Linked DNA regions of Callithrix jacchus. The protein of the gene in region 3 purifies or fractionates together with the protein of the main gene of each other region. This does not show direct contact. Links are inferred from orthologs where the notes say so. Each region holds a gene or a part of one and is shown on either strand. Other genes may lie near its edges.

Region 1 (7,139 bases), on a different chromosome or scaffold from region 3:
CCCACTGCTCTATTACTGTTAGATGGCACCCTTGTGTCTAGTCACACTGATAGATTTTGGGTGTGTCCCCTCTAAATCTCACACTGAAATGTGATCCCCAGTGTTGGAGGTGGGAGGTGTTTGCGTCATGGGGTGGATCCCTCATTAATGACTTGGTGCCTTCCCTGAGGTAATGAGAGATACCAGATTTGATTGTTTAGGAGTCTGGGCGCTTTCCCACTGCCTCGTTCGTGCACCCTCTCTGCCGCTTACTCTCCCTTTGCCTTCAACTTTCAGTAAAAGCTTCCTGAGATCTCATCAGAAGTTTAGCAGACATGGGTGCCATGCTTGTAGAGCCTGCAGAAACGTGAGCCAGTGAAACCTCTTTTCTTCACAAATTACCCCACCTAAGGTACTCCTTGAGAGCAATGCAAAACAGACTAACACACCTATTTCTACATGGCTGCCCATTCTTGATCAAACCTAAGCTGCCCTGGTTCTTTGGTTTCATTTCTGAAGCCTGCTGTGTTAAGTAAGACTCTGATAAAATAAATTTGTTATGGTTTTCTCCTCCTAATTTGTCTTTTGTTAAAGGAGCACTGGCCATGACCCTTATGATGGGTGAGAAAAGGAATGACATTATGCGACCACTGTCGCTGTAAGTTTTTCTTCCCCTCTCAGCTGAGAAAATGATCATTCACCTTTGGTTGAGATCAGGCTTAAGGGATGCCTTTTCCAGGACGTCTTTGATGATCCCAGACTGGTTTCAGCCCTTTCTCTTTGCCCAGTATTATAATGAATGGTGCACGTAATGTGTCTCCTGCTGATTTTAACTTCACTGGGCACAGAATTCTACCTCCGATGTGCAGACCCTCCACTAAAGAGTTTAGTGCGGCTAAAGCAGTGGCTGACAAAAAGACGCTAAACACTGCCATTCCCAAGATGTCAGCAACGTCTACAACGGAAAGAAAGAGCAACCGGACAACCACAGCTCAATCAGCCATCACTTCCAAACAAGTGCCTGCACTCCTGGGCCCCTGCAGGTCAGCAGGTGGACACAGGCTGCATTGGGAGAAGCCACGGAGGGTGACAAAAGCGGTCATTTTCTAATGCTGCTTTCCAAAGACCATAAGAGCAGTTTGATTTTGGACTGAGTGGGCTATTTTAAAAAACTCCCCATTAAACAATTCTTGAAGGCAATGTATCTGCCTGGAAAGGGCACGACCGTGGGAGCGGACAGCACGCTGTCTGCACACTTACTTCCGGGGTTAAGTGCACTTCCATGGGCGTGTATGTCGGCCAATAGCCCATCGTGAGTATGTTCACTGTGAGGTCTATAGGGCCTGAGTCACTCTGATTCTGCATATGCTAAAAACAGAGAAATCCAAGACAAATAATCATTTGAGAAAGTCATGAAACAATTAACTTATAACAAAATAAATTGTAATTTTTCAAACAAAGTTTCATCTGTGTTAGTATTTATCTCAGTCTTAAGAACATACTCCGTGAAATCCAAAGCCTCACTGGAACTGCCTTTTCCCCTTCTTCAGGTGTTACCACCAGACTCACAGAAATCAAATTCTTGCCACAGGTTTAGAGCTTCTTTTTCTTCTCCTTTTAAAATTTACTTGTGAAACAAGAATAGTGTAATTTTTTTCTTTTTTCTTTTTTTGAGACGGAGTTTCGCTCTTGTTACCCAGGCTGGAGTGCAATGGCACAATCTCAGTTCACTGCAACCTCTGCCTCTTGGGTTCAGGCAATTCTCCTGCCTCAGCCTCCCGAGTAGCTGGGATTACAGGCGCGCGCCACCATGCCCAGCTAATTTTTTGTATTTTGAGTAGAGACAGGGTCTCACCATGTTGACCAGGATGGTCTCGATCTCTTGACCTCGTGATCCACCCGCCTCGGCCTCCCAAAGTGCTCGGGTTTCAGGCTTGAGCCACCGCGCCTGGCCAATTTTTTTCTTACATAGTTTAGAATGAGATTCATTCATTCTATCTAATCCATTGAATCTACCTACCTTAATTCTCTATCTGTGCCAAGGTATTGCTCTCTCTGTCTTCTATATATCTATGTGTCTATGTTATCTATGTATCTACGTAGTTAGCTATCTATCCATACATCTGTAACAAGGTCTCACTTTCATGCCCAGGCTGGAGTGCAGTGGTGCAGTCATGGCTCACTGCAGCCTCAAACCGCTGGGCTCAAGTGATCTTCCCACTTCAGCCCCACTCTAGTAGCTGGGACTACAAGCATGTGCCACCCTACCTGCTCATTTAAAATTTTTTTCTTTTGTAAAGACAGGGTCTTGCTATGTTGATCAGGCTGGTTTTGAACTTCTGGCCTCAAGAAAGCCTCCTGCCCCAGCCTCCCAAAGTGCTGGGATTACAGGCATGAGCCACCACACTCAGCAGATACTTTTTTAAAGCATCTGCTGCTTTACTTGAAGAAACACAACTCACCTGCTTGAAATGAACCATGATGTCCTTTGAAAGCTCCATGTCCTTGAACATGCCTTCTAGCTTGCTCGTGAAGGCTGCACCACACTCTGGACACAGCAAAGGAGGCAGTGAGACTGGGGCAGCACGCGGGCAGCACCCCTCAGCTGCAGGGGAGGAGCCCAGGCCCCGCACGCTTACCATGCTTGAGCTTTGACAACATAGACTTCTCAGCGTCCACTGAGGCACTTTTCCCAACCAGAAGTCTTTTTGCCAAATCTTTTTTATAAAATGCTTCAAAGACATCTTTACCTATTTATAACCAGATGAGAAGAATCAAGGCATCAGAGCGTGGATAAGCAAATGTCAGTCTTCAACTGCTGAAAACCCTTAGAAGTGTCCATTCTAATGCAAACTGGCTCTACTGACACCGCCATTCTCATGTTGAACCTGCTCTGAGAAAGCAGAGCCTGTGTTTACACCTCTAGATCAAGCAGCATTTTCTGAGTGCCCAAATCTCACCGTGGATGAACCTGAACAGGATCATGATCTTGTCCAACGTCCGCTCCAGCTCCTCGTCTGTGGCTTCTTTGTTGCCTGCTCTTAACTTTGAATCCACATGCTTTGCTGTGAGCATAAACATATAGGAATACTACATAAAAACATATAAACACATAGCATCTTTAATTTCTATAAGCAATACTGTACAGTAACATTCTGGAACCTTTCCAAAATGATATTACTATATGACGAAAAAGCAAATATCCAATTTTCTAAGATAAATACTCTTAAGTCATGTGAGAGCAAATACTTCCCAAAATTTTAACAAAGCCAGGGACTGAATGTTTAAAGCAGGTTGAACTATCTGTCTTACCTCTAAATGTAATCTCTGAATTTCAAAATAAAATGGGTTCAGTGATCACATGCTCAGGTTCCAGGACACATGGCTGCCCCAAACGCAGGAGTGCCCATTCCTGGGATCTGGTGTCATAAACTCAGAGGAGACATTCTCAAAGAAAAAGACTTTCTCAGGGTATCCAAGGTGGCAACGCAGGGTAGAAGCATTTCTACTCAGGCTTCCTGTTTCTGAGGCTGCACAAGCCATCTGTGAGGTGGCTCGGGAGGGAGGGCCTACGTCCCATGTGATAGAACTCAAGATTTCCAGAAGCCCAAACTCCCAAAAGCTCAACACTCCTTTTGAGAGAAACCAAAGCTGAAACAGAGGCACAAAAGCCAAGGTAAACTGCCTCCTCAATTCTTTCTGTTGCTGCTTTTATAGTTCTTTTCTTTTGAACATTTTACAATGGAATATTCTGAACACACAGAAAAGTAGACAACTGCACAATGAGCTCCATGCTTCATGCACCTTCAGCGTAATCAACGTCAATCTAGCATCATCGTATTACAGTTCTCTTTGCCCCCTTTCTCCTTCAAATTAAAAAAATTTTTACTGACTACAGAAAGCCTATGAATTCTGAAATTATTTTGGTATTATTGTGAAAACACTGTACAACTTAAAAACAGTATTTCAAATATGCTATCATTTGAGATCTCACCTGATTATATCCTATTTTAATACTGATCAGAGGATACAAAGATGGTGGATCACCCCTTCCTTCTTTGGTGAAGTCAAGCATCATTTCTTTTCTAAAGATTTCCTACCTCATCTTCCCTTCTGGAAATGCCCTCCTCCACCCATGAATGCAGGTGTGCCCCCTTTTTAAAATGTATGCCCTAATAAGACCTTGATAAAAACACTTTCCACACACCCCAGGAGCAGGTTGAACATTGTGGAAAAAAATTTGGTTGAGTTTTGCCTTATTTTCCCACATTAAAAAAACCGTCTAGAAATGGGTGAGACTGTCTCAAAAAAAAACCCAGATTTTCCTACCAATCAGTTCTGCAGGCTTGTTGGGTCTCTTGTTGATGAACGTCTCAAACGACTCCTTCATAAGGTTGACGAACCGCTCATTCTTCTGGAAGCAGACCTCTATCACATGGTCCACCTTGTCCTTGAAGTCCAGCAGGTCTTGGACCATGTCTTTATCTTTCTCAGGATTGATGACGATCGCTGTCCCGAAAGTCTACAAAAGCAGATCAATACCCACTCAGCAACATGCTTATAACACCAAACAGTATTTCCTCCTGCTATCACACAGTCAGGATAGTTCAATATAAACTACTCTTAAGAGTAAATACCCAGTAACTTTAAAAGTTTCACAAATTGAGTTCATATTTCAAAAATTAAGTGAATATATTTTTTTTGATTTTTTTTTTTTTTTTTTTAAATGGGGCAGGGCCTCACTCTGTGGCCCAGCTGGAGTGTGGGGGGGTGGTGCAATCACGGCTCACTGCAGCCTTGACCTCCCAAGCTCAAGCCATCCTGCCACCTCAGCCTTGCGAGAAGCTGGTGCCACAGGCTCAGGCCACCACATCTGGCTGATCTTTTTAAAAGTTTTGTAGAGACAGGGTCTTGCCACATTGCCTAGGCTGGTCTCAAACTCTGGGCCTCAAGCAATCCTCCCGCCTTGGTTTCTCAAAGTGCTGGGTTTATAGGGATGAGCCCCTGTGCTTGGTGTCAATATACAGTTAGATATACAATAATGCCTTGCTCTTACAATTCTTTTTCGAGATAACTTACAAATGACTGGGAGAATGTCCACTGCTTCTTAAAGAATGTTTATGCATAAGTTCCTCAAAGACAAGTTAATTCTTACTAATTCAATACATCTGCTGGGATTTCTTAGCTACAGTTTTCTTTCTCCATCACTTCTAACCATGAAAAGCTATTTCTAGTTTGTATTTTTTTTGAGACACAGTCTCCTCTGTCGCCAGGCTGGAGGGCAGTGGTGCGATCTCGGCTCACTGGGACCTCTGCCTCCTGGGTTAAAGCAGTTCTCCTGCCTCAGTCTGCTGAGTAGCTGGGAGTACAGGTGCACACCACCATGCCCAGCTAATTTTTGTATTTTCATTAGAGAGGGTTTCACCATGTTGGCCAGGATGGTCTCGATCTCTTGACCTCATGATCCACCCACCTCAACCTCCCAAAGTGCTGAAATTACAGGTGTGAGCCACCGCGCCCAGACTAGTTTGTATTTTTAATTTAAAAATGCTGTATTAAACATTCCTAAAAGTCTGTGTGTGGTGCTAATAAACAGTTAACTATTTGATGACATAAACTATACATGCTGAAGAGGAGCTGAATATAATTACTGAATATAAAAAAAACTTGTCTCAATAGAATGCACAGAGGCACTCATGTCACACACAGGTGAGACAGCTGGCTGGTGGAAGGATGCCAACAGAAAGGGCACAGATCCTCCTGGAGAGGGCAGTATGTGGCTCACAGGTGTGGAGGGACTCACTTCTTACTCAACATCTCAAACACTATAAGGCCCAGCTTTATTTTGATGGCGGCATGTGTGGAGTCGCATGTAAACTACTATTTTGTTACAGCAGAGCTGCTTATTGCTGACACTGAGGAGTGATGGTCACTTACTGATTTTTTTTTTTTTGAGACAGAGTCTCGCTCTGTTGCCTAGGCTGGAGTGAACTGGCGCGATGTTGGCGCCATGCAACCTCTGCCTCCCGTGTTCAAATGCTTCTCCTGCCTTAGCCTCCCAAGTCTCTGGGACTACAGGCACCCACCACCACGTTCCGTTAATTTTTTGTATTTTTAGTAGAGATGGGTTTCACTGTGTTAGCCAGGATGGTATCAATCTCCTGACCTTGTGATTCACCTGCCTCAGCCTCCCAAAGTGCTGGGATCACAGGTGTGAGCCACCGCGCCAGCCACCATGCACTGGTTTTTATTACCCAGACTAAAAACTGCAAAGGTGAACCTTTCCTCGTACTTAGATGTATTCCTATCCCCTGAAGACTGTCTCACTGGCAAAATCCTAAATTTTCAGTAGCTTTAAGGCTGATTTAATGTGACTCAGTTATAACTTCCAGTTCAATAGCACTCTACGAGACCTTGTCAGGAGTGGTGCTGTGTGTGTACTGGCTTTCCAAGCTGGACTGATACATGACTTCAGATCTGATTATTCCATAAAGCAGCATGTAAGCCTTCATTTGGCTTTTTTATTTAATAGAAATCTTTATTGAGATAATGAAAGACTTGCATTATGGTAAAAATAGCAGAGCAATCCCAGTACCTTCGTTTCCATAGTTTCTTCTAATGGCAACAGTCTGCAAAACTACAGAGCAGCAACTGGGATACGAACACATTAACCCCTAGACTTTTTCAAATGGCCCAGTTTACTTGTAACTCATCTCGGTGTGCACATCTATGACCTCAGCCAAAATCCCAACCATTCCCCCAGAAGGCTACCTCCTGGGGCCTCTTCTAACCATACATCCCACCCCGTCCCTACCCCCTGGTAACTTTTCCTCTGTCCTCCACTTCTGAACTTTGACATTTCCAAAATGTTATGGAATAATATATTAATAGTATGTTAAGTACCTAGGATTGGCTTTTTATTTTTCTCAGCGTAATTCTCTGAAAATTTTATCTTTTAATTATAGGACCTAAGAATAGTCACCAACAAGCAAAAACACAGGTACCTGCTGAATGTTCACCATTTAAGCTGGAAAACTCATGCTAGGCCCCCGGCATATGCTAAAAACACGAGCTATCTGTGAAGGGTCCTGCTGTTTGCCTCAGTTCTCCCGTTTCCATGAAGGGAGTCTGGAAAATGACTTCTCTATTAGAGGGTCTTC
Region 2 (7,881 bases), on a different chromosome or scaffold from region 3:
ACAAGGTCAGGAGTTTGAGACCAGCCTGGCCAACGTGGTAAAACCCCATCTCTACTAAAAATACAAAGAAATTAGCCAGGTGTGGTGGCACACACCTGTAAGTAATCTTAGCTACTCAGGAAGCTGAGGCAGGAGAATTGCTTGAACCTGGAAGACGGAGGTGGCAGTGAGCTGAGATCATGCCACTGCACTCCAGCCTTGGTGACAAAGTGAGATTCCATCTCAAAAAAAAAAAAAAAAGAAAAGAAAAGTAAAATACACTGAAGAAATTGAAGAGGACACCAAAAAAATGGAAAAAGATTCCATGTTCATGGATTGGAAGAATCAATATTTTAAAAAAATGTTTTTTTTAAAGACAGGGTTTCACCATGTTGGTCAGTCTGGTCTCAAACTCCCGACCTCAGGTGATCCACTCACCTCAGCCTCCCAAAGTGCTGGGATTACAGGCATGGGCCACCACGCCTGGCCTAATACTGTTTTTTTATTTTTATTTTTTTAACTTTTTTTTTTTTTGAGACAGACTTTCTGTTACCCAGGCTGGAGTGCAGTGGCACAATCTGAGCTCACTGCAACCTCCGCCTCCTGGATTCAAGTGATTCACCTGCCTCAGCCTCTTGAGTAGCTAGGATTACAGGTGTGCACCACCAGGCCCTGCTAATTTTTGTATATTTAGTAGAGAAGGGGTTTCACCATGTTGGTCAGGCTGGTCTCGAACTCCTGACCTCGTGATCCACCTGCCTTGGCCTCCCGAAATGCTGGGATTACAGGCATGAGCCACCACGCCCAGCAGAAGAATCAATATTGTTAAAATGTCCATACTACCCAAAGCAATTAGCAGATTCAATGCAATCTCTATTAAAATACCAATGACATTCTTCACAGAAACAGAAAAGGCCATCCTAAAATTTATATGTAACCACGAAAGACCCAGAATAGCCAGAGTTAATCCTAAGCCAAAAGAACAAAACTTGAGGAATCACATTACCCGACTTCAGATTATACTCCATAGTTATAGTAATGAAAACAACACGGTACTGGCATAAAAACAGACACAGACCAATGGAAGAGAATAGAGAACCCAGAAATAAATTCACACACCTATAGCAAACTCATTTTTTGACAAAGTTGCCAAGAACACATAGTGGGGAAATATAGTATCTTCAATAAATGGTGCTGGGAAAACTTCATATCCATATGCAAAAGAATGAAACCAAACCCCTATCTCTTGATGTATAAAAAAGTCAATTTAAAATGGATTAGGGCCAGGCGTGGTGGCTCACACCTGTAATCTCAGCACTTTGGGAGGCCAAGGTGGGCGGATCACTAGAGGTCAGAAATTCGAGACCAGCCTGACCAACATGGTGAAATCCCATCTTTAAAAAGAAAAAAGAAAAAGAATAAATAAATAAATAAAATGGATTAAAGATTTAAATCGAAGACCTCAAACTGTGAAACTACTGCAAGAAAACATTGAGGAAAACTTCCATGACATTGGTCTGGGCAATGACTTCTTGAGCAATATCCAACAAGTACAGACAACCAAAGCAAACATGGGCAAACTTGATTGCATAAAGTTAAAAAGCTTCTGCACAGCAAAGGATACAATCACCGAAGGGAAGAGACAACCCACGGAATGGGAGAAAATATTTGCAAACTACCCCTCTGACCAGGGAATAATAATCAGAATATATACATAAGGAGTTCAAACAACTCTATAGGCAAAAATATAATAATATGATCAAGAAATTGACAAAATATTTGAATAGACATTTCTCAAAAGAAGACACGAATGGCAAATAGGCATATGAAAAGGTACTTAGCATCACTGATCATCAGAGAAATTCAAATTAAAACTACAAGATATCATCTCACCCCAGTTAAAATGACTTATATCCAAAAGACAGGCAATAACAAATGTTGGTGAGGATGTGGACAAAAGGGAATACTTGTACACTGTTGGTGAGAAAGTAAATTAGTATAACCACTATGGAGCACAGTTTCGAGGTTCCTCAGAAAACTAAAATTGAGCTACCATATGATCCAGCAATCCTACTGCTGGGTATATACCCAAAAGAAAGGAAATGAGTTTATCAGAGAGATATCTGCACACCTACGTTTCTTGCAGCAGCGTTTACAACAGCTAAGATTTGGAAGTAACCTAAGTATCCATCAACAGATGTTTGAATAAAGAAACTGTGGTACATATACACAATGGAGTACTATTTGGCCAAAAAAAAAAAAAAATGAGATCCTGTCATTTGCAATAATATGGATGGAACTGGAGATCACTATGTTAAGTGAAATAACGCAGGCCCTGAAAGAGTAACATCACATGTCCTTACTTATTTGTGGGATATAAATATCAGAACAATTGAACTCATGGACACAGAGAATAGAAGGTTACCAGATGCTGGGAAGGATAGTGGGGGATTGGGTAGTAGAAGTGGGGTTGGGTAATGGGTACAAAAAAATAGAATGAGTAAGATCTTCTAGGGCTGGGCGCAGTGGCTCAAGCCTGTAATCCCAGCACTTTGGGAGGCCGAGGAGGGTGGATCACTAGGTCAAGAGATCGAGACCATCCTGGTCAACATGGTGAAACCCCGTCTCTACTAAAAATACAAAAAATTAGCCGGGCGTGGTGGCGCGTGCCTGTAATCCCAGCTACTCAGGAGGCCGAGGCAGAATTGCCTGAACCCAGGAGGCATAGGTTTCTGTGAGCCGAGATCGCGCCATTGCACTCCAGCCTGGGTAACAAGAGTGAAACTCTGTCTCAAAAAAAAAAGAGATCTTCTATTTGACAGTGCAATAGGGCAATAGGGTGACTTTTATGGTTTGGATTTTTTTCCCACCCAAATCTCATCTTGAATTGTAATCCCCATAATCCCCACATATCTGGGGAGAGACTTGGTGGGAGGTGATTGGATGGTGGAAGTGGTTTTCCGTATGCTGTTCTTATGATAGTGAGTGAGTGCTTACGAGATCGGGTAGTTTTATAAGGGGTTCTTCCCACCAGCCCTGTGGTGGTGCATGCCTGTACTCGGGAGGCCGAGGCTGGAGGGTCACTTGAGACTGGGAAGTTGTGGCTACAATGAAACATGATCATGCCACTGCACTCCAGGTTGGGTCGAGTAGTAAGATGCTGTGTCTAAAACCAAAAACAAAGTAAAATCCTTGACTGGCAAAATATTCTCTATCAGCTTTCTTTTTAAAAAATTACATAAGTAAAACATGTATCTTTAGTTATTTATCTCTTTAATCAGATTACCTTCTGTAATAATTCTTTGGGAATTATTCTACAGGAGGGCAGTCATTGACGCCTGTAACCCCAGCACTTTGGGATGCCAAGTCAGGAGGATTGCTTGAGCCCAGGAGTTTGCAACCAGCCTGGTCAACGTAGACCCTGTCTCTACCAAAAAATAAAAATAAAAAACAAAAAACGGGCATGGTGGCGTGTGCCTGTAGTCCACGGTATTTGGGAGGCTGAAGTGGAAGGATCCCTTGAGCCCAGGAAGTCAAGACTGCAGTAAGCCAAGACAGCACCACTGCATTCAAGCCTGGGCAGCAGAGTGAGGCCCTGTCTCAATAAAAACCCACAAAAAACTATGGGGGCATCGTATGGTTGCCAGTGAATAAGGGTTACCAGATAAAAAACAGGACGCGCAATTAAATTCAGCTAAACGAGGACTGTATATTTTTAGTGTAAGTATGTCCAAAATATTGTTGAGGTATACTTACACTAAAACAAGTATTCATTGTTTACCTGAAATTCAAATTAAGTAGGCATCCTATATTTTCATTTGTCAAACCTGGCAATCCTACCAGCACTTTAACATGAAGCTATGAGGTTTGTCTGGATTCATGCTGGTAGGTAAGCACCAATCCATTCAGTTGCCTCAGACGGAACAAAAGCCATTCTCCCTAAAAAAAGAATCTTTTAGTGTGACGGTAGGTAGCAACGAAGCACGGAAGAAACTTGACCCTTTGAGGAACCCGTAACAGACGCAAGTGCCTTAAATGCTACTTTGATTGATTTCCCCGCCCCCTCCATTCTTCTTTTCCTGCAATTGTTCTATCACTTCTTCCCTCTCAAGTCCCGCCCTTTCAGCTACCTCCAACTGCAGAGGAACCGGTTGCTTAAAAGGAGCCGGCAAAAGCGCCTACGTGGAGGCCAGAGGAGCGGAAGTAGTCAGATTTGACTGAGAGCCGTAAAGCGCGGCTGGCTCTCGTTTTCCGGATAACGACTACACCTCCGACTGTCAGTGCCGGCCTTCCTCGTGTAAAGGGATCTGCCGGACCCTTGCAAATTCAATTTCGTTCCCATTCCGGGCCCTTCCCTATCGTCGCCCCCTTCACGTTGGATCATGTTCAAGAAGTAAGGACATGCTGTGGCCTCCATCGGCTGCTCACAAAGGCGGTGGGGTGGGGGTGGGGAAGAGGGCGAGAGCTAAGATCCGCTTTCTCTCTCCCCCGCCCCTGCCATCCTGACTCCCTAAGGTTTTCTATAGTACTATGCTCTAACTCGCAACTTGAACACTTCTTTAAGCTTTCCATCCGTAGTCCTCAATCGGGTTTCGTTCCCTTCACTCCCATTGTTTTTTCTCCTTATCCCTCTTTCTCTTTTGCCCCCTCCCCCGATTCCGTCTCCATTCCTAGGGTTCTACCAATCACATCCGTGCACTGTGATTTAGGGGCATATCCTCTTTAGCTGAGAGGGGAGCCCTGCGCTCACTGCCATATGTTTATTAGTTATGAACTGAATAAAGGAAGGCTTGACTTCCTGGGTCATGGGAGTGAAGGAGTCTGGGTGACAGGAAGCAAGCGGCCTGTCATGCCTATTGCCTAGCTGCCAGATTAACCTTGCCTTGAAAATAACGTGATTGCCCCATAAGCTATTCAGTGTAAGGAAGACAAAAATTCCTTGGGAACCTACTAGTGGGTTTGCCTTCCAGGTTTGGTAGACGCAAAAAGCAAAGGGGGAACATGGGCAAAGGAAGGTGGGTTTTTTGCATGAAATTTTGAGCAAAAATAAATAGGGATCTTATAAATCATCACTTTAAAAAAAGTCTCAGCAGACTGCATAGCCTAGCAGGGGCCGATTTTCTATGTTATGCTTGGGTTGGTCTTTTGTATCAATTGAGGGTTTTGTTTTTTGATCACAGGTTTTATTATTGGTGGGAGCCCGTGTTTTTCCTGGGTAGAATTGAATAAGATTTTCCAGGAAAGGCATTTGTGTAGCTAATTAGAGATTATGGTGCAAAGTGTGTCTTATATTCCTCTCCCCAACCCCAGCTAATTGCTGTATACTTGACAGTTAATTTCAATATTGTATTAAGACATTAGTTTTGTGCTGGACAGAGTAAAAGGGAGGTGGTATTTTTTTTTAAAAAAACAACTTATTTCATAATTATTTTAAGTATCTAAATACTTGCTTGGGAATACTAATCAGAACAATACCTTTAGGTATTATGATACCTCTACTTAGAAATCCCTTTTTCTTTTCTTGCAAAAATTACTTGGCAGATTTGATGAAAAAGAAAATGTGTCCAACTGCATCCAGTTGAAAACCTCAGTTATTAAGGGTATTAAGAATCAGTTGATAGAGCAATTTCCAGGTATTGAACCATGGCTTAATCAGATCATGCCTAAGAAAGATCCTGTCAAAATAGTCCGATGGTAAGTCTTTGTTTTTGTCTGTGTAAAGCTTGGAGTAGCTGAATGTTCAATGATTAGATTGCACTCATACTAAATGGAATTATTTTCAGATTAACTATTGATAGATTGATAATGGGGATAGACACAGAATAACTCCAAAACTCCAATATTTGTATTTTCATAGATTTTCTATGTCCCTGAAAAAAATGTGGCTTTGTGTATTGTTTTATTAAAGAGTTAAATGTTTTAATTCAGAGTTGGATTTAATTTATTTCAGTTTGTTCTTTAGAGAATTGTTTTATTGAATTATCTAACAATGGAATTAAAATAATAAAATGTGAAATAAAATTGGTTGTAGCAGGTCATATTTTTCTTCTCTACTGTACTTGTATGATAGGAAAAACAATGTAAACAATATTTTTTGGCCAGGATTTTTACTGACTTCTTTTAAAGTTTACTTTATCACTATATATGCATTTTTATGTTGTGAATTTTTGAAAAATATCTAACTTGGTTCTTTGTGACATTTGTCTTACAGCCATGAACATATAGAAATCCTTACTGTAAATGGAGAATTACTATTTTTTAGACAAAGAGAAGGGCCTTTTTATCCAACCCTAAGGTTACTTCACAAATGTAAGTTTCTTTATTTTTATTTTTTGAACTATTTACTCTTACTGCATAATTCAAATGTAAAGTCTTGTAAGAAATATGCATTTAATCAGATGAGACCCCACTGCAGGGAAAAAACAGAAATATGCATTTGGGGATACTGAAAGACACAAAAAGAGTTTAAAGTGGCTTCTGATAGTTAACTCATTATTTATTAGTACTAGGTAATAAGGGATGTAAAACTAAAATGAATGCCCATCTTGTGGTAAATCTGAAAAATGCTCATGCATTCCAGAAAGCCCAAGAAAGAGCATTCATTCATTCATTCATTCAACATATATTTATTGAACTTATTGTGTGCTAGGCACTCACTAGGTGCTGAGAATACAATGGGAAGCAAAGACATTGTCTCTGTCCTAATGAAACTAATAGTCTAGTTTGGAGAATAAACAACAATTAGGTAATTATACAAACATGTATTTACAAACTGTGATAAACATTGTGAGCATTTTCGTCTTTTATATTTATATCTATTTGCCCAATAGAGAAAAGTCTATATATGGGAAAGCATTGGCTAAATGTCCTTCCATCCAGTTAGTTACTTTCTGTGATATGTGTAAATGCATATAATTTTAAAAATTGGGCTGTTACATAGTTTGTAAAAATTAATACATAATAACTCTACATTGTCTGATGTTGTGGTGCCTGTATCCAACCCCCCTCCCACCTGTATATATTTATAGTTGTTGTACATATTTTAGGGGTACATATGATATTTTGATACCTTTATACAGCGTGTAATGGTCAAATCAGGTAAATTAGGATATCTGTCATCTCAAATGTTTATCTTTTTGTTGAGAGGACTACAATTCTTCTAGCTATTTTGAAATATACAGGAAATCATTGTTAACTATATTTTCCTTAACTGTACTCTCGAATACTAGAACTTATTTACTGGTATTTTTGTACCCCTTAACCAACTTCTCTTCATCCCCTTGTAGTTTTTTTTTTTTTAGTTAATAGGCTTTATTTTTTAGAGCAGTTTTAGGTTTACAGAAAAAGAAAGCAGAAACAACAGAGTTCTTTCTCCCCAGTTCAGTTTCCCCTATGAATAACATCTTGTGTTGGAATGATGCATTTGTAACAATTGATGAACCAGTACTGATACATTATTATTAATGCAAGTCCCTGGTTTATATTAGAGTTCACTGTATTCTACAGTTTTATGGATTTTCCCAAATACATAATATCAAGTATCTACTGTTACGGTATCATACAGAATGATTTTGCTGCCCTATAACATCCTTTGTGCTCCATATCTTTTTTTTTTTTTTTTTTTGAGACAGAGTCTTTCTTGCTGTCACCCAGGCTGGAGTGCAGTGATCTTAGCTCACTGCAACCTCTGCCTCCCAGTTCAAGCGATTCTCCTGCCTCAGCCTCCTGAGTAGCTGGGACTACAGGCACTCACCACCACACCCAGCTGATTTTTGTATTTTTTTTTTTTTTTGAGACGGAGTTTTGCTCTTGTTACCCAGGCTAGAGTGCAATGGCGCGATCTCGGCTCACCGCAATCTCCGCCTCCTGGGTTTAGGCAGTTCTCCTGCCTCAGCCTCCCGA
Region 3 (7,139 bases):
ACTTGGGGTAGATCAGATTGTTGATATATATTTGTGAGTCATCAATTTACAGGAGATATTAAATGCTGTAGGGAACTGACACAATCACCCAGAGAAAGAGTGTATATAGAGAAGAGAAGAGAGCCAGAACTAAGGGGTTCAATTATAATATTCAGAAGGACATAGAACAAGAAACATGAACAACAGTTACTGAAAACCCACCAAAATAAGAGTCAATAGGCAAATATGATAACCTAGATGCCAAGAAAAGAAAGTGTTTCAAGAAAGGAGTGACAGCTTATGTTAAAAGCAACCAGGCTGAAAAATCTAGTAAGGTACTAACAGAGAAATATCCTCTAAACTGGTAAATGTCACTGGTGACTTTTTGATTAAAAGTATTAGAGGAAAAGGGAGTTGAAAAGCAGATTGGGCTTGGTTAATAAATAAATGAAGGATGGCAAGAAAATGGAGATAGCATATATGAACAACTCTTCTGAGGACTCATTATGAAAGCAGTAGAGAAATAAGGCAATAGCTGAAGGAGAATGTGAGATAATTAAGAGAAAATTTTTAAAGTAAGAAGATAATAAAAGCATGTTAAGGCCAAAAGAAACAACTCAGGGGAAAAAAAAAAAAAAGGTAATGGTAATGCACAAGCAGGGGCAAAGACATTGAGAAGCTGGAAAGGGATGGCAACTACATTGGCTAGCTTTTAATAGGAGCAGACACATCCCTAAATGTGCTTCTGCTTCTATCACAATGTGAGTACAGATGTTGGAACTCTGGGAAATTATTGATAGCAGGAAAATAAGTGCTTTTCTTTTCACTATGAATGAAAGGTTAGAAGCTGGAAGTGGGGAAGGAATAAAGGGGAGTGTTAAGTTTGAGAGACATGAAGGCATAAAATAATCATTTTGTACAGCTGGAGAACATCAGTGTTGAAAAGGACTGCTCTGATGCAGTGTTGAGCACCCATTGAAATTTGTGGTCATAATTTTCTTCTCTATCCTTCAGGGATTCCACTGTAGACTAAGAGAAGGCAGACAAGTAGGTTCAACCAGAGATGGAGCCTAGCAAATTTTCATATTCCCATTGTCCCTTTCTTTGATACCAGTAAGAATGACGGAGGACATGTAAAAGAAAGGCATAAATATTTAAATAAAAAGGTATCCGCAGCAAGGCAAGTATAGACAGAAGCATACTTTATCATTTGTCTCTATGCAGTGAAATAATAGAAATCATGGTCATAAGCTGACATTCCCATATACTCTATTCACCCAATGGACAATTCCCAATATTCACAAACACATTTGTACTTCGGCTATGGCAAGTGCAAAAGAGATTGGAGAAAAAACAAAAACAAAAACATTTCAGCTTACTGCTGAAATGCTGAACTCCAAAATAATGAAAAAGCTCTTATCAGAACAATTACAGACATAACCTTTAGATGTTAAGTCTAACATCAAATCATTTTTCTCAGTAGTGATAACTACCTTGGTAACATGGAAACATTCTAATTATCTATACCTTACTCTACCAAAATTCTCTCAATAATCTCCTAGTTAAAAATATTTCCTTACTTTCTATAAATAATTTATGAGTAAAAGTACTGAGTAATGTTTCAACAGTCATCACATGATCACCAAAAATACTTTTTCTCTTCAATAATTCAAATGACTTGTCACATTTAATACTTACATTAATTACTGAAAGAAATTTAGCAATTTGAAATACAGTATTAAAATGCATTAAATAGCTTTAAAAAATAAAGTTCCAAATAGTTTACTCATAAACATGTTTAAGAAACAACTAGAATTGTTAAGATTCAGTCGAACCTGAATGTAAGCTAGAGTCTTGCTAAGTTTTCCTAAAAACTTATAATTGATCAAAATGTTCAACAATATTTCCAAAAATGCTATCACTTTAAAAATTCTTGCTTTTCCCAATTTTACCTGTTCTGAAAAACAAACTTTTAACTACTTCTGCCCTAAATTCCCAAATCTTCCAAAATATTTTATTTTCTCATAAATTAAAATGCTATGTCAACAGTGTGAAAACCTCGATTCTGTAACTCAGCTTTAGCTTATTATGATGGATAAAATGTACACAGTGTTAACAGTTATATAACTGACTCTGGCTTTTATTCCCATAGAAACTGAAAATGAATTACTAAAAGCGGTATATACTGATAAAAGAGTGCTTAAATTAAAACATCCCATATTTGGTAATCTGGCATCAGTTGCCAGAGATGTAAGAATAAAGTGACAGCTTGGCAGCTAAGCTGTTAGAAATTTTTTTATGGGTTTCAGCTTAGGCCTGCCAGCTATATTTCTAGCTGCTAATAATTCTGGCTCTATATTGAGTAAAATTCTTCCTTAGAAAAACCAAAGAAAACTATAAATAAATATCTTATTGGTTTTTATAATTACATGTATATAAAGTACTGAGTAAACTGTAGATTCATTTGTCAAAAATTACTATTATAAATACTAATACATTCCATAGTTAGGGGGGAAAAGTTGACCATGAGGACTTAAAATACTGAGAAGAAAATAGTATTTTAACAGAATGCAGAGGTTTTTTCCACTAGCATCAAGTACCAAGAAGATATGCATTTGGTAAAATAATTCTTTTTCAGGTAAATACTGGAGAAATAATTCTTTTGGTAAATTATATGTTGTTGACAAAAGACCATTATCAAATCAACCATAGAGTGTATACTAAAGGTACTGCATTATTTGAGGGAAAAGAATCAAGAATATAAGCAAAATGAAACTAATATTGATATTTTCACAATCACTTTAATAGAGACATAAAACCAAATACATCTAGAAAGATATTTTGGTCTATAGGGATCTATAAAATCATATTTAAGTCAGGTGCATTAAACTATGCCAAAACACTATCTTTTGGTACCTGCACTTTTAAAAGAATTGTTTTATATAAATTGAAGATTCCTGCTATTTGTTAAAATTCATGCAAGTAAGACACACTTAATTTTTGTGTTTAAGTTACATATCCATACACTACACGTCATTTTGATCATTTATTCCAACAAGAAGTTGATGTGATTTAGTATCTTTCAAAACAGCCAGTAAAGTTTTCACTATCAAAAATCATTAGATGAACCACAGCATACTTAGAGAGGAATATCCTCACCAGACTGATGATGTGTGTGGTGTCCAGATGCCTCAGCAGACTGCCTTTGTTCACTATCTGGAGAAGATAGCAAAGAAGTAGAATGAGGGCTTTCTGTGGGAGATGATGTCGAATGAGCCTGAGCTGACACTGTAGAGGATGTAGAAGGTTGAAGAAATTGTTCAGCTGGAGTATCTACTTCCATTGCCGTTTCACTCACTTCCAAATCAGGACTTGATGGGACCGTAGGAAGAGTTGAAATATCTGATTGACTTGTTCCACCTTCAAAATACATGTTAATACAAATTCACATTTTAAATATTTTCTAAAACCAACAACTCTAAACAGACGTGTTCAGAAAACACATTTCTATTTGCACACACAAACATATATATAATTTCAGTAATAATAACCACTGGTGATTTGGCTCATTTGACAAAATAGGCCAATCAAAAGGGGTAAAAATTTATCTACAACATATTCTTGCTAAAACAATCAATCTTTCCAATTACATAAAACTTATTTATACACAGAATTTTATCATATTTCCATTCTCGGAGCACATTAAAAAAAGGCTTAAAATGGGCAATCTCAGATTCTTTTACTTTTGAGAAAAGCAAAAGATACACACTAGGTCTAGTGGCAAGAGGAGGAACAAATTATATCCAATACCTTTTATTCTCTACTACTTCAAACAATACAGTAAGAATCTTGTGATTACTACAGATGTAAAACACGGTGTAATTTAGATGATATAAGTAAAACTGGCTTCAGTAAGTAGTTTTTGCCAGCTTTCTGATGACTTTAATTAATATGAAGACTTACCTCTGGGTCGAGATCTTCCTCGTCCTCTATTGCTTTGTGCAACCTCACTTGCTTCTTCGAACCATCTTGATAACATATCAGACATTCTCTGCATCAATGACACATTGGGACTCTGCTCTCCTATTACAATATAGGTCTTATCAGTGAATTTAATAATAAGTCAGAATCTTTCATTAATATAAAAACCTAGATTTGAAGGGCTTTAAAATGAAAGCATTTTTTTAAAAAATCAAATTTCCTAAATAAATTGTATGAATGTATATAAATCTATTAGCGCTTTCATCACATGTTACAGTAATTGTTTATATGAGTGACACTCCATCTGTATGGTAAAGTTCCTTGAGAACAGGGCTCATCTCCCCTTCATCTTTGTCTATTCTTAGGTACCTCTAAACCTCCCACCTCCTACCTCAACCTATATTTTTAGTTTTAAGAGTGCCCAGCCAAGAAGGGCTCATGAATTCTAAGTTTAATAGATTAAAAGAAAGATTTTCCCTCTCTCTAAGGCATTATAATCAAGTACAGAAACAAAATAGCCTTATATTTTTGCATGAAGTTTCCTTAAACTCGTTTTCATCATCATTTACTATAAGCAAATTCTAGATATTTAAAATTAGCTGGAACCAGAAAGTATTTCGTCTTCTCCTTCACTCATTTTCCTCTTTCAAATAAACAAGTTTTTCTAAGGGCATTTTCAAATACAATGCCAAATTTAAAATGTGACAACTCTATTCTACAGTCTTATAATTTAAAATGAAAATCATTCTGACATTTTCTGTAAAATCAGAGTTTCTTTTACACTTTACTGCCTTTATATAATGTAGCTCATATACTGGGGAATATGCTTTTGATCATAAAAGACATTTCAGAAGTCATTATAGTAAGATTTTGGTTACAGACCAATTTAATAAAATATAATTCTATAGAATTATAATTCATAGATTAATTCTATTTTCAAGTGTGCTACCTTAAAGGTCCCAGGGTAGTTTCTTATGCTTATCAAAGGCACTTGAACATTTTATGTGCTATTATAAAACTCTCAGGTGGAGTTTTCATTTCTCTTGATATCTAATAGAAAGGCAAAAATTGAGAAGTCTGACAACACCCAATGTACTATGGGGCAATGGGCATTGTTATACTTTCAGTGGGAATGTAAATTAGCACCTCTTTTTTGGAGAGTAATTTGATAACTATCAAAATTAAAAGGTACTTATCCAGTGACTCAGCCATTCCACTTCTAAGAATTTATCCTAAGATATATTTACATAAGTATACTAACATATATGTATAAGAATGTTCATTACAGCATCACTTAAAATAGTGAAGTCAAAATATTAATTTTATTAATATTATTTATCAGTTTTAATATTAAAACCAGAAGTTAAAATATTAATTTTAAAATACCACATACAAAGAAAAGCTGACCAAAGTACAGTTACCATCTCGTTCTCGTTCGCTCTCAGGCCTTGCTCTGGGTCCAGTATCTGACCAATCACCACGAAGTCTCAAACGCTTAACTGGTGGTTGTCGTAACTAAAAGAAAAGAACAGGCAAATTCTATGTAAGTCTAAAACTCATCTATTCTCAACTCTTAATGTCTATTTATTTCTATCTCACTACTTTCTTGAGTATGCAAATTAGATCTAGATGAAAATATAAAAGGCACTGGTATAAGCCACATCAGTCTTTTGAAGCACTCGTTCTGAGGATATATATCCACTGATGTTGACAGCCTCTATCTAATATCTTCAATCCAAAGAGTCTCAATGCAACTTTGAAATCATGTGTATGTAATTTCTAATCTCACCTGTATCACCTTCCAACTGACAAAAGGAAGATATTTTTAACCATCTTGAGCCTTAGTTTTCTATTGTGATGATAAATATAGCCTAGGTAAATTACCCACATACCTAACAAACAATGGGAGTCATCATTATTTTTACTTATTATTGAGAATTTACTCTTCAGTTCCCAAACACAATCCATTCCAACCCTTTATGACTTGCCTCAAGTTATCTATTCCTTTATGCTGCTCTCATTCTTGCCCTCTAACAATTTTTCATCCTACTTCAGAGAAAATGAAAATGACATCATTTTTTTAGCTGAATTCTATAAACTAAATCTACATCTAGAACTTCTAACTCCTTCCAACCTTTCTTGAAGGATGTATTATTTATTCTATTTAAGCCTAATTTCTCCATCTGTGCTTTTTTCTTTTCATTCCTTCAACTCCTCGAGTATCTTGTTTGGCCAATTATTCTGTCTTTTCTACATCCATATCCATTTCTCTCTCCTGGTTCTCTGTCCCAACATGCTAAAGGTTCTTATCACTTTTAAGAAACAAAACAATATTTCAACTTCATAAAACCCATTTTTCCAGCTACAATCCTTTCTCTTGCTATCACTTTACTCAAGCTTCTTGAGAAAATTCTATATGCAATCTAACACTCCTCCTTCAATCCACTGTAGTCCATCTTTCCACTGATTTCCCATCTTTCCACTAACTTCATTCCCATCAGTCACCAGTGAATGATCAATTACTAAGTTCACTGATCAATTATAAAAATGCTCAATAATATGATCAACAATAATTGCCAACTCAAATGGCATCTTTCAGAGCTTATCTGAAATGTTTATGGTACCTACCACTCTTGATCATTCCCTTTAATGTTTACATTTTTAACTTTTTTTTTTCCTCAGGCAGGGTCTCACTCTCTTGTCCAGGCTGGATTGCAGTGGTCCCTTCCTAGCTCACTGCAACCTCGAACTCCAGAGCTACTATGATCTCTAGTGTCAGCTTGTTGAGTAGTTGGTCCATGTGCCACCTAATCCAGCTAAGCTTTTAATTTTTTTTTTTTTTAGAGATGGAGTCTAGCTATGTTGTCCTGGTTGGTCTTGAACTCATGGGTCGCAAGCAATCCTCCCACCTCGGCCTCCCAAAATGTTGGGATTACAGGCATGAGCCACCACATCTAGTCCATTTTAAACATTTTGGTATTGAAATATAATTCACATAACATAATATTCATAATTTTAAATTATACAATTCAGTAGTGTATATTCACAAAGTGGTACAACCATCATCATTATATAATTCCAGACTGTTTTCATCATCCCAGAAACAAACTATAATCAGCCACTCCCCACTCATCTCTCTGCTCAGCTCTTGGCAACCACTAATCTACTTTCTGTCTCTG
Region 4 (7,754 bases), on a different chromosome or scaffold from region 3:
ACTGTCCACTCCTTATTGCACACCCTCCATCATCTTCAGGAACTCTGCGGGAAAGGAGAGGGAGCGGGTCACAGGTCCCACCTGGGGATGCAAAGGTCAGGCCAGGGCTCCAGTCATTCAGAGGGGATGACTTTTTTGTTTGTTTTGAGACGGAGTCTAGCTGGAGTGTAACCCAGGCTGGAGTGGAGTGGCAAAATCTCAGCTCACTGCAACCTCCGCCTCCCAAGTTCAAGCGATTCTCCTGCCTCAGCCTCCCGAGTAGCTGAGACTACAGGTGCATGCCACCAGGCCCGGCTATTTTTTTGTATTTTAGTAGAGATGGGGTTTCACCATGTTAGCCAGGATGGTCTCAATCTCCTGACCTCATGATCCACCCACCTCTGCCTCTGAAACTGCTGGGATTACAGGCCTGAGCCACTGCACCCGGCCTTGTTTTTTGTTTTTGTTGAGACAGGGTCTCACTCTGTTGCCAAGGTCTGTCACCAAGGCCTGTCGCCCAGCCTAGAGTGCAGTGGCACAATCACTGCAGCCTGGACCTCCTGGGCTCAAGTGATCCTCTCACCTCAGCCCCTGGAGCAACTGGGATCACAGGAGACCCCTGGCTTTTTATTTTATTTTTGTAAAGACAGGGTCTCACTATGTTGCCCAGGCTTGTCTCAAACTCCTGTCCTCAAGTAATCCTCCCGGCTCGTCCTCCCAACGCGCTAGGATTTTACAGGCCTGAGCCATCGCGCCCTGCTGCCTGGTCGTTAACTGATAAACTGCACGGAGTCGTGGAGCACTTCTATACCAACACTTAGGAGGAACTTGGTGAGGTGACGCCCAGCCCCGCCCACAAGGCCAGCGACAGCGCACGGGAGCCAGTGGCACCAGTACCCGCTGCCCCTGTGGCTCCCACCCTCTCTCCCAAGCTGCCGCGGCCCTCACCATCGAAGTCAATGCGGCCATCGTTGTTCTTGTCCCCGTCTTTCATCAGAGATTCGATCTCTTCGTCCGTCACATGCTCTCCAGAGGCCCTGAAAATCTCAGCCAGCTCCTCCGCGTCGATGTAGCCGTCTGCGTTCCTTCGAGTCCGAGGGATAGGGGAGGGCTCAGGACCGGGGCGAGTTGCCCTGGTTACGCTCGACACCCCGTCCCCACACCCCCAACCCGGGAACCTTCCGGCGCCACCGGTCGGGCTCTGACTGCTCGGCCCCTCCCTTGGCTCCCAGGCCTCCAGCACACCTGTCGAAGATGCGGAAGCACTCGGCCAGCTCCTCCTCACTCTTCCCCTTTGCATCCTCTTTCATCTGGCGCACCATCATGACCAAGAACTCCTCGAAGTCAATGGTGCCGCTGCCTGCGGGGAGCAGGTGGTGGACTGAGCCTGAGCCCGGCCGCCGCTGCCTCTCCCCACCATCCCCTGCCTCCGAGGGCCAGCCGCTCACCGTCCTCATCCACCTCCTCGATGATGGCGTCCAGCTCCTCCTTGGTGGGTGTCTGGCCCAGCATCCTCATCACGGTGCCCAACTCCTTGACGCTGATGTCCCCACCACCATCAGCATCAAACATGTCAAAGGCAGCCTTGAACTCTGCGAGGGAGAGCAGAGGGCAGAGGTGAGGATCGCTGGACTGTCAGCCTCACACCTACCCCCCAACCCTGCCGGGAGGCCAACTGCTTCCCAGCCTGCCGGCCTCACTCACCAGCGATCATCTCCTCGCTGAGGTAGGACCGGGCCTCAGCCTGCTGGTCAGTCTGCAGGAGACACAGAGAAAAAGTCAGCTGAAGAGGTAACCCTAGAGCAGCACCTCACCTCTACCCCATTCACCCCAACCCCCACTCTGCCAGCGCCCCTTGGTCCTCCAGAAGAACAACTTCAAACTCGTCACATATTTGTGTGCCCCCACAGCACCCAATCAGTTTTGTTTTATTCAGAAGACAAGGTCTCGCTCTGTCACACAGGTTGGATATGTAGTATGATCACAACTCACTGCAGCTTTGACCTCCTGGTCTCAAGTGATCCTCCTGCCTCAGCCTCCTAAGTATCTGGGACTAGTGTACACCATGCCTGGCTAATTTTTTAAATTTTTGGTAGAGATGGGGTCTGACTATATTGCCCAGACTGGCTTAGAACTCCTGGGCTCAAGTGATCCTCCCGCCTCAGCCTCTCAAAGTGCTGGGATTACAGGCTTGAGCCACTGTGTCCAGCTGCTGACCCCCGTTTTTTGTTTTTGTTTGCTTGAGACAGAGTCTCACCCTGTCACCCAGGCTGGAGTGCAATGGCAGGATCTCGGCTCACTGAAACCTCTACCTGCCAGGGTCAAGCAATTCTCCTGCCTCAGCCTCCTAAGTAGCTGGGATTACAGGTGTGTGCCATCATGCCCAGCTGATTTTTGTATTTTTAGTAGAGGCGGGGTTTCACCATGTTGGTCAGGATGGTCTCGAACTCCTGACCTCAGGTGATTTGCTCACCTCAGCTTCCCAAAGTGCTGAGAGCCACCGTGCTCAGCCTGGCACTAGTTTTGAGAAAAAGAGAGGAGACAGCAAATTAAGCCCAAGGCCTTCTCACTTGTCAATTGAAGGCCAAGTCAGGAATCCCCCCAGTGACCTTAGGCAAGTCACTTAGTGTGCCTTCATCTCTTCTCTGTAGCTTTTCAGGGATGAGATATCAGGGGTGTGAAAGGGCTTTGTAAAAGGCTAGCACCATTCCAGCAGTATTTTCCAGTTTTCTCTAGCTCCTAATGGTGCTCAGTACTTTAATAGTTGCTCAATAAAATGTTTGTTCTCAGATAAATAATAATGCAACACAAGCCGCGCACAATGGCTCACCCTGTAATCCCAGCACTTTGGGAGGCTGAGGCAGGTGGATCAGGAGGTCAGGAGTTTGAGACCAGCCTGGCCAACATAGTGAAACCCCGTCTCTACTAAAATTACACAGAATTAGCCGAACGTGGTGGCGGGCACCTGTAATCCCAACTACTCAGGAGGCTGAGGCTGGAGAATCACTTGAACCTGGGAGTCAGAGGTTGCAATGAGCTGAGAGCACGCCATTGCACTCCAGCCCTGTCGATAGTGTGAGACTTCAACTCAAAAAAAAAAAAAAAAAGGACACAAAGTTATTGAGCACTTGCTGCATGTCAGGCCACAGATCAGGCACTGGGACCACCAAGAAGAGACCGAGGATACATCCTCCTGCCCCTCAGAGAACTGGCGGAGTCGCAGATCAGCTTCCTTCTTAGGATTCAGTCATTGGAGAAAAGGCCTCTCATATTGGGCAGAATGTGAGGGGGGCCTTGACATGAAAGTGAGATTTCTGTGGGGGCTTCCAGGTCATATCCAAGCCAGACCATCTGGGTCGGAGGCTTTGGGCTGAAGCTGGCAGTAAGGATGGGGTGAGGCTTCCAAGGAGCTCTTCAGCCGGCTGGCCGCTGGCCCTCCTCCTTCTCCCCCTCCTTACTCTCTTCTTCTTTCCCTGTGCCAGGAGGGCAGGCTATTTTTAGTCAGGCATGGGCAACAGCAGCTGGCCTCTGGGATCTAGTTACTCCTTGAGGTGAAGTGAGGAGGGGATTCTCAGACGAAAACCACAGCACCAACTCAGAACCCCCTCTAGGAGAGCAGGGTTTCTCTAATTCTGGTCTGTCATCTTCTGTCTCTTCCCATCGTCCTCAGGGGTCCCGGAGCCCCTGTATCTGAGTGGGCCCCACGCCCTGCAGGCCTCTCATCTTCTGGAGGAGCCTTTCTTCTCTCCATGATGGTAGGAGGGTTTGGCCAGGAGTCTGGCTCACCCCTGCCACTGGCTTGCTGGGTAACTCACTCTGACCCCTCAGGGTCCCCACTATGTGAAAGAAACATAGCTAAGAGCTCTTCACAGGTCTATGAATGACAGTGCTGGAAGTTTCCAAAGGTGCATAGGCAGTCAGCAAGCCTTGACCATCAATCTCTGGAACACCCCAGCCCTCCCCTTCCAAGAAAAGTCAAAGGCCTTCCTCCAAGACACCTGGGTTCCAGGAACCTCCATGCTCCAACCTCACACATCCAAGTTACTGCCCCACAGAGCACCCATGCCTGGCCTCAAAGATGTCCAGAGTGTTCCCGTGAGTGAAGCCGCAATCCCTTCTTGTCCTTACCATGGTTGCTGGTGACCGGGTCTCCTCTGCTGCAGGTCACCTCCTTTGCACTCCACCACCCAAAGATGCCCTGGCCTGCTCTAGCCCCTGGGATTTGTAGGGGCACCCTCCCCTCCCACCTCCCTGCTCCCCAGCACTGGATGCCCTACCCAATCAGATCCTGGTGTCAGTGAGCCCCACCCCACCAAAGGTCTGAACCCATTACCTAATTTAGCCAAGGGCCCTTGCAGAGAAATTTAAGCCTCCGAGCAGGTGGCAGGCCTTGACGTCCCAGATTCTTGTGAGGAAGGCCCGCCCTGTTCCACCGCCTTGGAGTCCCCCTGCTCTCCCCCTCTCACCAGGGAAGCACACTGGCTCCAAGATGGTAAGGACAATCAGAGTAGTAAAGAGTGAGGCAGCACAGTAAAATGAGGAGAGTACAAGCCTTGAAGTCCAAAACCCAACATTCAAGGCCGGCCTCTGTGAGCTGTGTGACCTTGGGCAGGTCGAAATGCCTCTCTGAGTCATTTCCTCGTCTGTAGGATGGACCTCTCTGTGCAGTCTCCCTCACAGAGAAACCACGGTAAATGGGAACCCAGGTATAAGTCACCTAGCTTAGGCCAGGTATACAGGGTTAGTGCTTGGCAAGAGGAATGTCCTGTCTTTGAACCATGGTGAGGGGTAGGGGATAGAAGGAGGAGAAAGTGACAGCTAGGCCACTGTTTACTGAACCTCCATGACGTGCCATACACTGTGCTAAGTATTTTAACATGATCTCATCTAGTGCTCCTCCTATGAGATAGCAACTATTATTATCCCCATTTGACTGCAGAGCTTTATAAATCATAAAGGTCTATACTTGCTCTGTCACCAAGGCTAGTGTGCAATAGTGCTGTTACAGCTCACTGCAGCCTCAGTCTCCTGGGCTCAAGTGATCCTCCCACCTCAGCCTCCCGAGTAGCTGTGACTAGAGGTGCACTACCATCCCTGGTTTTTTGTTGTTGTCTGTTTTGTTTTATTTTTGTATTTTTTGTAGAGATGAGGTTTCACCATGTTGACCATGCTGGTCTCGAACTCCTGGGCTGAAGGGATCCTTCCACTTTGGCCTCCCAAACTGCTAGAATTATAGTCATGAGACACCATGCCCACCCATGTTGATGATTCTTCTTTTTCTTCTTTTTTTTTTTTTTTTTGAGACGGAGTTTTGCTGTTGTTACCCAGACTGGAGTGCAATGGCACAATCTTGGCTCATCACAACCTCCTCCTTCTGGGTTCAAGCAATTCTCCTGCCTCAGCCTCCCAAGTAGCTGGGACTACAGGCGTGCACCACCATGCCCAGCTAATTTTTGTATTTTAAGTAGAGACGGGGTTTCACCTTGTTGACCAGGATGGTCTCGATCTCTTGACCTCATAATCCACCCACCTCGGCCTCCCAAAGTGCTGGGATTATAGGCGTGAGCCACCGCGCCTGGCCCTCTTCGTATTATTTTTTGAGATGGAGTCTCGTTCTGTCGCGAGGCTGGAGTACAGTGGTGCGATCTCGGCTCACTGCAACCTCCACCTCCTGGGTTCAAGCAATTCCCCTGCCTCAGCCTCCCAAATAGCTGGGACTACAGGTGCATGCCACCACGCCCAGCTAATTTTTTTGTATTTTAGTAGAAACGGGGTTTCACCATGTTGGCCAGGATGGTCTCCATCTCCTGACCTCTTGATCTGACCACCTTGGCTTCCCAAAGTGCTGGGATTATAGGCGTGAACCACCACGCCTAGCCCAAATGATTCTTATTATGAATTCCGACTGGAGGAAAGTTGGGACACTGTCCTTTGGGTACCTGTGCAGATAGAAAAGTGTATGGAGGGGAGGGATGGAGGAGAGGAGGATGTGCATTTGGAGGAGAAATGATCATTGAAAGCAAACACCCTTCTTTCAAAGTTACCTTCTCCAGGGAAAGGTGGTTTGGATTCACTTTTAGGGGTGGCGAGTTGGCAGGGGAAGGTTCTTTAAGTGGTAAAAGGGCAGCTGGCCCCTTCCTAGAGCTCAGTGAAGAAATCTGGTCATCTAGGGAGTAAAGGGGTGGGCAGATCAAGTCCAGAGGGATCCCACCCTCAGAATCCACGAGGTGCATACTAGGCACTGGGGAGTAAGGCAAGGCTTGTGGACAGTAGCTACGTCGACAGAAAGAGCACCAAGACAACCGATAGCAGGCTCCAGGGCCAGGAAAGCGGGGCTGGACACCAAGGAAGACAGATGGACAGTGGCAACTGGGCTTCCCCTATATATAGACATTCCCAAGGAAAGTTCAGCAGGGCCATGCCAAGCTAGATAAGGCCTCCCCAGGCAGGCAGGGAGCCAAAGGGTGAGACCCATGGGATTCCAATTCCAATTTGGTTATTTTTGCTTTTTGGGTTTTGTTTTTGAAATAGAGTCTCACTCTGTCACCCAGGCTGGAGTGCAGTGGCACAATCTTGGCTCACTGCAACCTCCACCTCCTGGGTTCAAGTGATTCTCATACCTCAGCCTTTTGAGTAGCCGGGATTACAGACACATACCACCACACCTGGCTAATTTTTTTTTGAGATGAAGTCTTGCTCTTGTTGCCCACGCTGGAATGCAATGGTGCAATCTGAGCTCACCACATCTGCCTCCCAGGTTCAAGTGATTCTCCTGCCTCAGCCTCCCGAGTAGCTGGGATTATAGGCATGTACCACCACGCCCAGCTAATTTTGTATTTCATGTAGAAACAGTGTTTCTCCATGTTGGTCAGGCTGGTCTCAAACTCCTAACCTCGGGTGATCCACCCGCCTTTGCCTCCCAAAGTGCTGGGATTATAGGCATGAGCCACTGTGCCCAGCCAATTTTTGCATTTTTCATAGAGACAAGCCTTCATCATGTTGGCCAGGCTGGTCTCGAACTCCTGACCTCACTCAAGTGATCCTCCAGCCTCCCAAATTCCTGAATGTGGCCAAGCAAGGTCCCACTGGCCCTTCTAATCTCCCTGCTCCTCCCCTCCACATTGTGTTGCTGTCTGTTCTGGTCAGACTTTAAAATACTACTCTAAACACCACCTTTTACGAACCTTCAGGCCTTTGCATATGCTGGTCTTTTCTGCCAGAAACTCCCATATTCCCTCCCTTCATCTGTCTACTTCCCTATCATCTTTCTCAGCTCTAGCGTCACTTCCTAGGAGATCCTTCCTCCCCTATGTCCAGGCTGGGGAGTCCAAGGTGGTCTCCAGTAGTTTCCTCAATCAGAGCACTGAGCATGCCTTATGATCACCACCCATTCTATGTTTCATAGACCATCATATTTTCCAGTACTCAGCACTTGCCACATAGCAGGTGTTCAACAGATATTATATTCTACATAAGAATAACTGGGCCAGGCATGGTGTCTCACACCTGTAATCCAAGCACTTTGGGAGGCCAAGGCAGGCACATCACCTGAGGTCAGGAGTTGGAGACCAACCTGATCAACATGGAGAAACCCTGTCTCTACCAAAAATACACAATTAGCTGGACGTGGTGGCACATGCTTATAATCCCAGCTACTCGGGAGGCTGAAGCAGGAGAATCACTTGAACCTGGGAAGCAGAGGTTGCAGCGAGCTGAGATCGCACCATTGCACTCCAGCCTGGGCAACAAGAGTGAAACTCCGTCTCAGAAAAAAA

The links.
Region 1: the proteins of DCAF6 (region 3) and CUL4A purify together in Homo sapiens (affinity purification with mass spectrometry; 8 studies listed by BioGRID and IntAct, with this or other methods). This does not show direct contact. The link is inferred for Callithrix jacchus from reciprocal best matches to the Homo sapiens genes DCAF6 and CUL4A.
Region 2: the proteins of DCAF6 (region 3) and CUL4B purify together in Homo sapiens (affinity purification with mass spectrometry; 6 studies listed by BioGRID and IntAct, with this or other methods). This does not show direct contact. The link is inferred for Callithrix jacchus from reciprocal best matches to the Homo sapiens genes DCAF6 and CUL4B.
Region 4: the proteins of DCAF6 (region 3) and TNNC2 purify together in Homo sapiens (affinity purification with mass spectrometry; 3 studies listed by BioGRID and IntAct, with this or other methods). This does not show direct contact. The link is inferred for Callithrix jacchus from reciprocal best matches to the Homo sapiens genes DCAF6 and TNNC2.

The regions. Positions count from the first base shown.
Region 1 is NC_133502.1:28,697,266-28,704,404, reverse strand, and holds part of CUL4A (cullin-4A), read right to left. Parts: intron 4,502-7,139; coding exon 4,309-4,501; intron 3,045-4,308; coding exon 2,940-3,044; intron 2,730-2,939; coding exon 2,619-2,729; intron 2,528-2,618; coding exon 2,442-2,527; intron 1,348-2,441; coding exon 1,240-1,347; intron 1-1,239. UniProt on the Homo sapiens protein: Core component of multiple cullin-RING-based E3 ubiquitin-protein ligase complexes which mediate the ubiquitination of target proteins. As a scaffold protein may contribute to catalysis through positioning of the substrate and the ubiquitin-conjugating enzyme.
Region 2 is NC_133524.1:116,475,464-116,483,344, forward strand, and holds the start of CUL4B (cullin-4B), read right to left. Parts: upstream 4,189-7,881; 5' UTR 4,110-4,188; exon of another isoform or gene 3,524-4,109; coding exon of another isoform or gene 3,339-3,523; exon of another isoform or gene 3,300-3,338; intron 1-3,299. Other genes in the region: MCTS1 (malignant T-cell-amplified sequence 1), read left to right, coding at 3,339-3,523, 5,521-5,673, 6,191-6,288.
Region 3 is NC_133519.1:34,286,338-34,293,476, forward strand, and holds part of DCAF6 (DDB1- and CUL4-associated factor 6), read right to left. Parts: intron 5,476-7,139; coding exon 5,382-5,475; intron 4,063-5,381; coding exon 3,943-4,062; intron 3,400-3,942; coding exon 3,139-3,399; intron 1-3,138. UniProt on the Homo sapiens protein: Ligand-dependent coactivator of nuclear receptors. Enhance transcriptional activity of the nuclear receptors NR3C1 and AR. May function as a substrate receptor for CUL4-DDB1 E3 ubiquitin-protein ligase complex.
Region 4 is NC_133506.1:41,064,477-41,072,230, forward strand, and holds the start of TNNC2 (troponin C, skeletal muscle), read right to left. Parts: upstream 4,175-7,754; 5' UTR 4,111-4,174; coding exon 4,108-4,110; intron 1,736-4,107; coding exon 1,684-1,735; intron 1,572-1,683; coding exon 1,428-1,571; intron 1,340-1,427; coding exon 1,225-1,339; intron 1,065-1,224; coding exon 928-1,064; intron 45-927; coding exon 13-44; 3' UTR 1-12. UniProt on the Homo sapiens protein: Troponin is the central regulatory protein of striated muscle contraction. Tn consists of three components: Tn-I which is the inhibitor of actomyosin ATPase, Tn-T which contains the binding site for tropomyosin and Tn-C.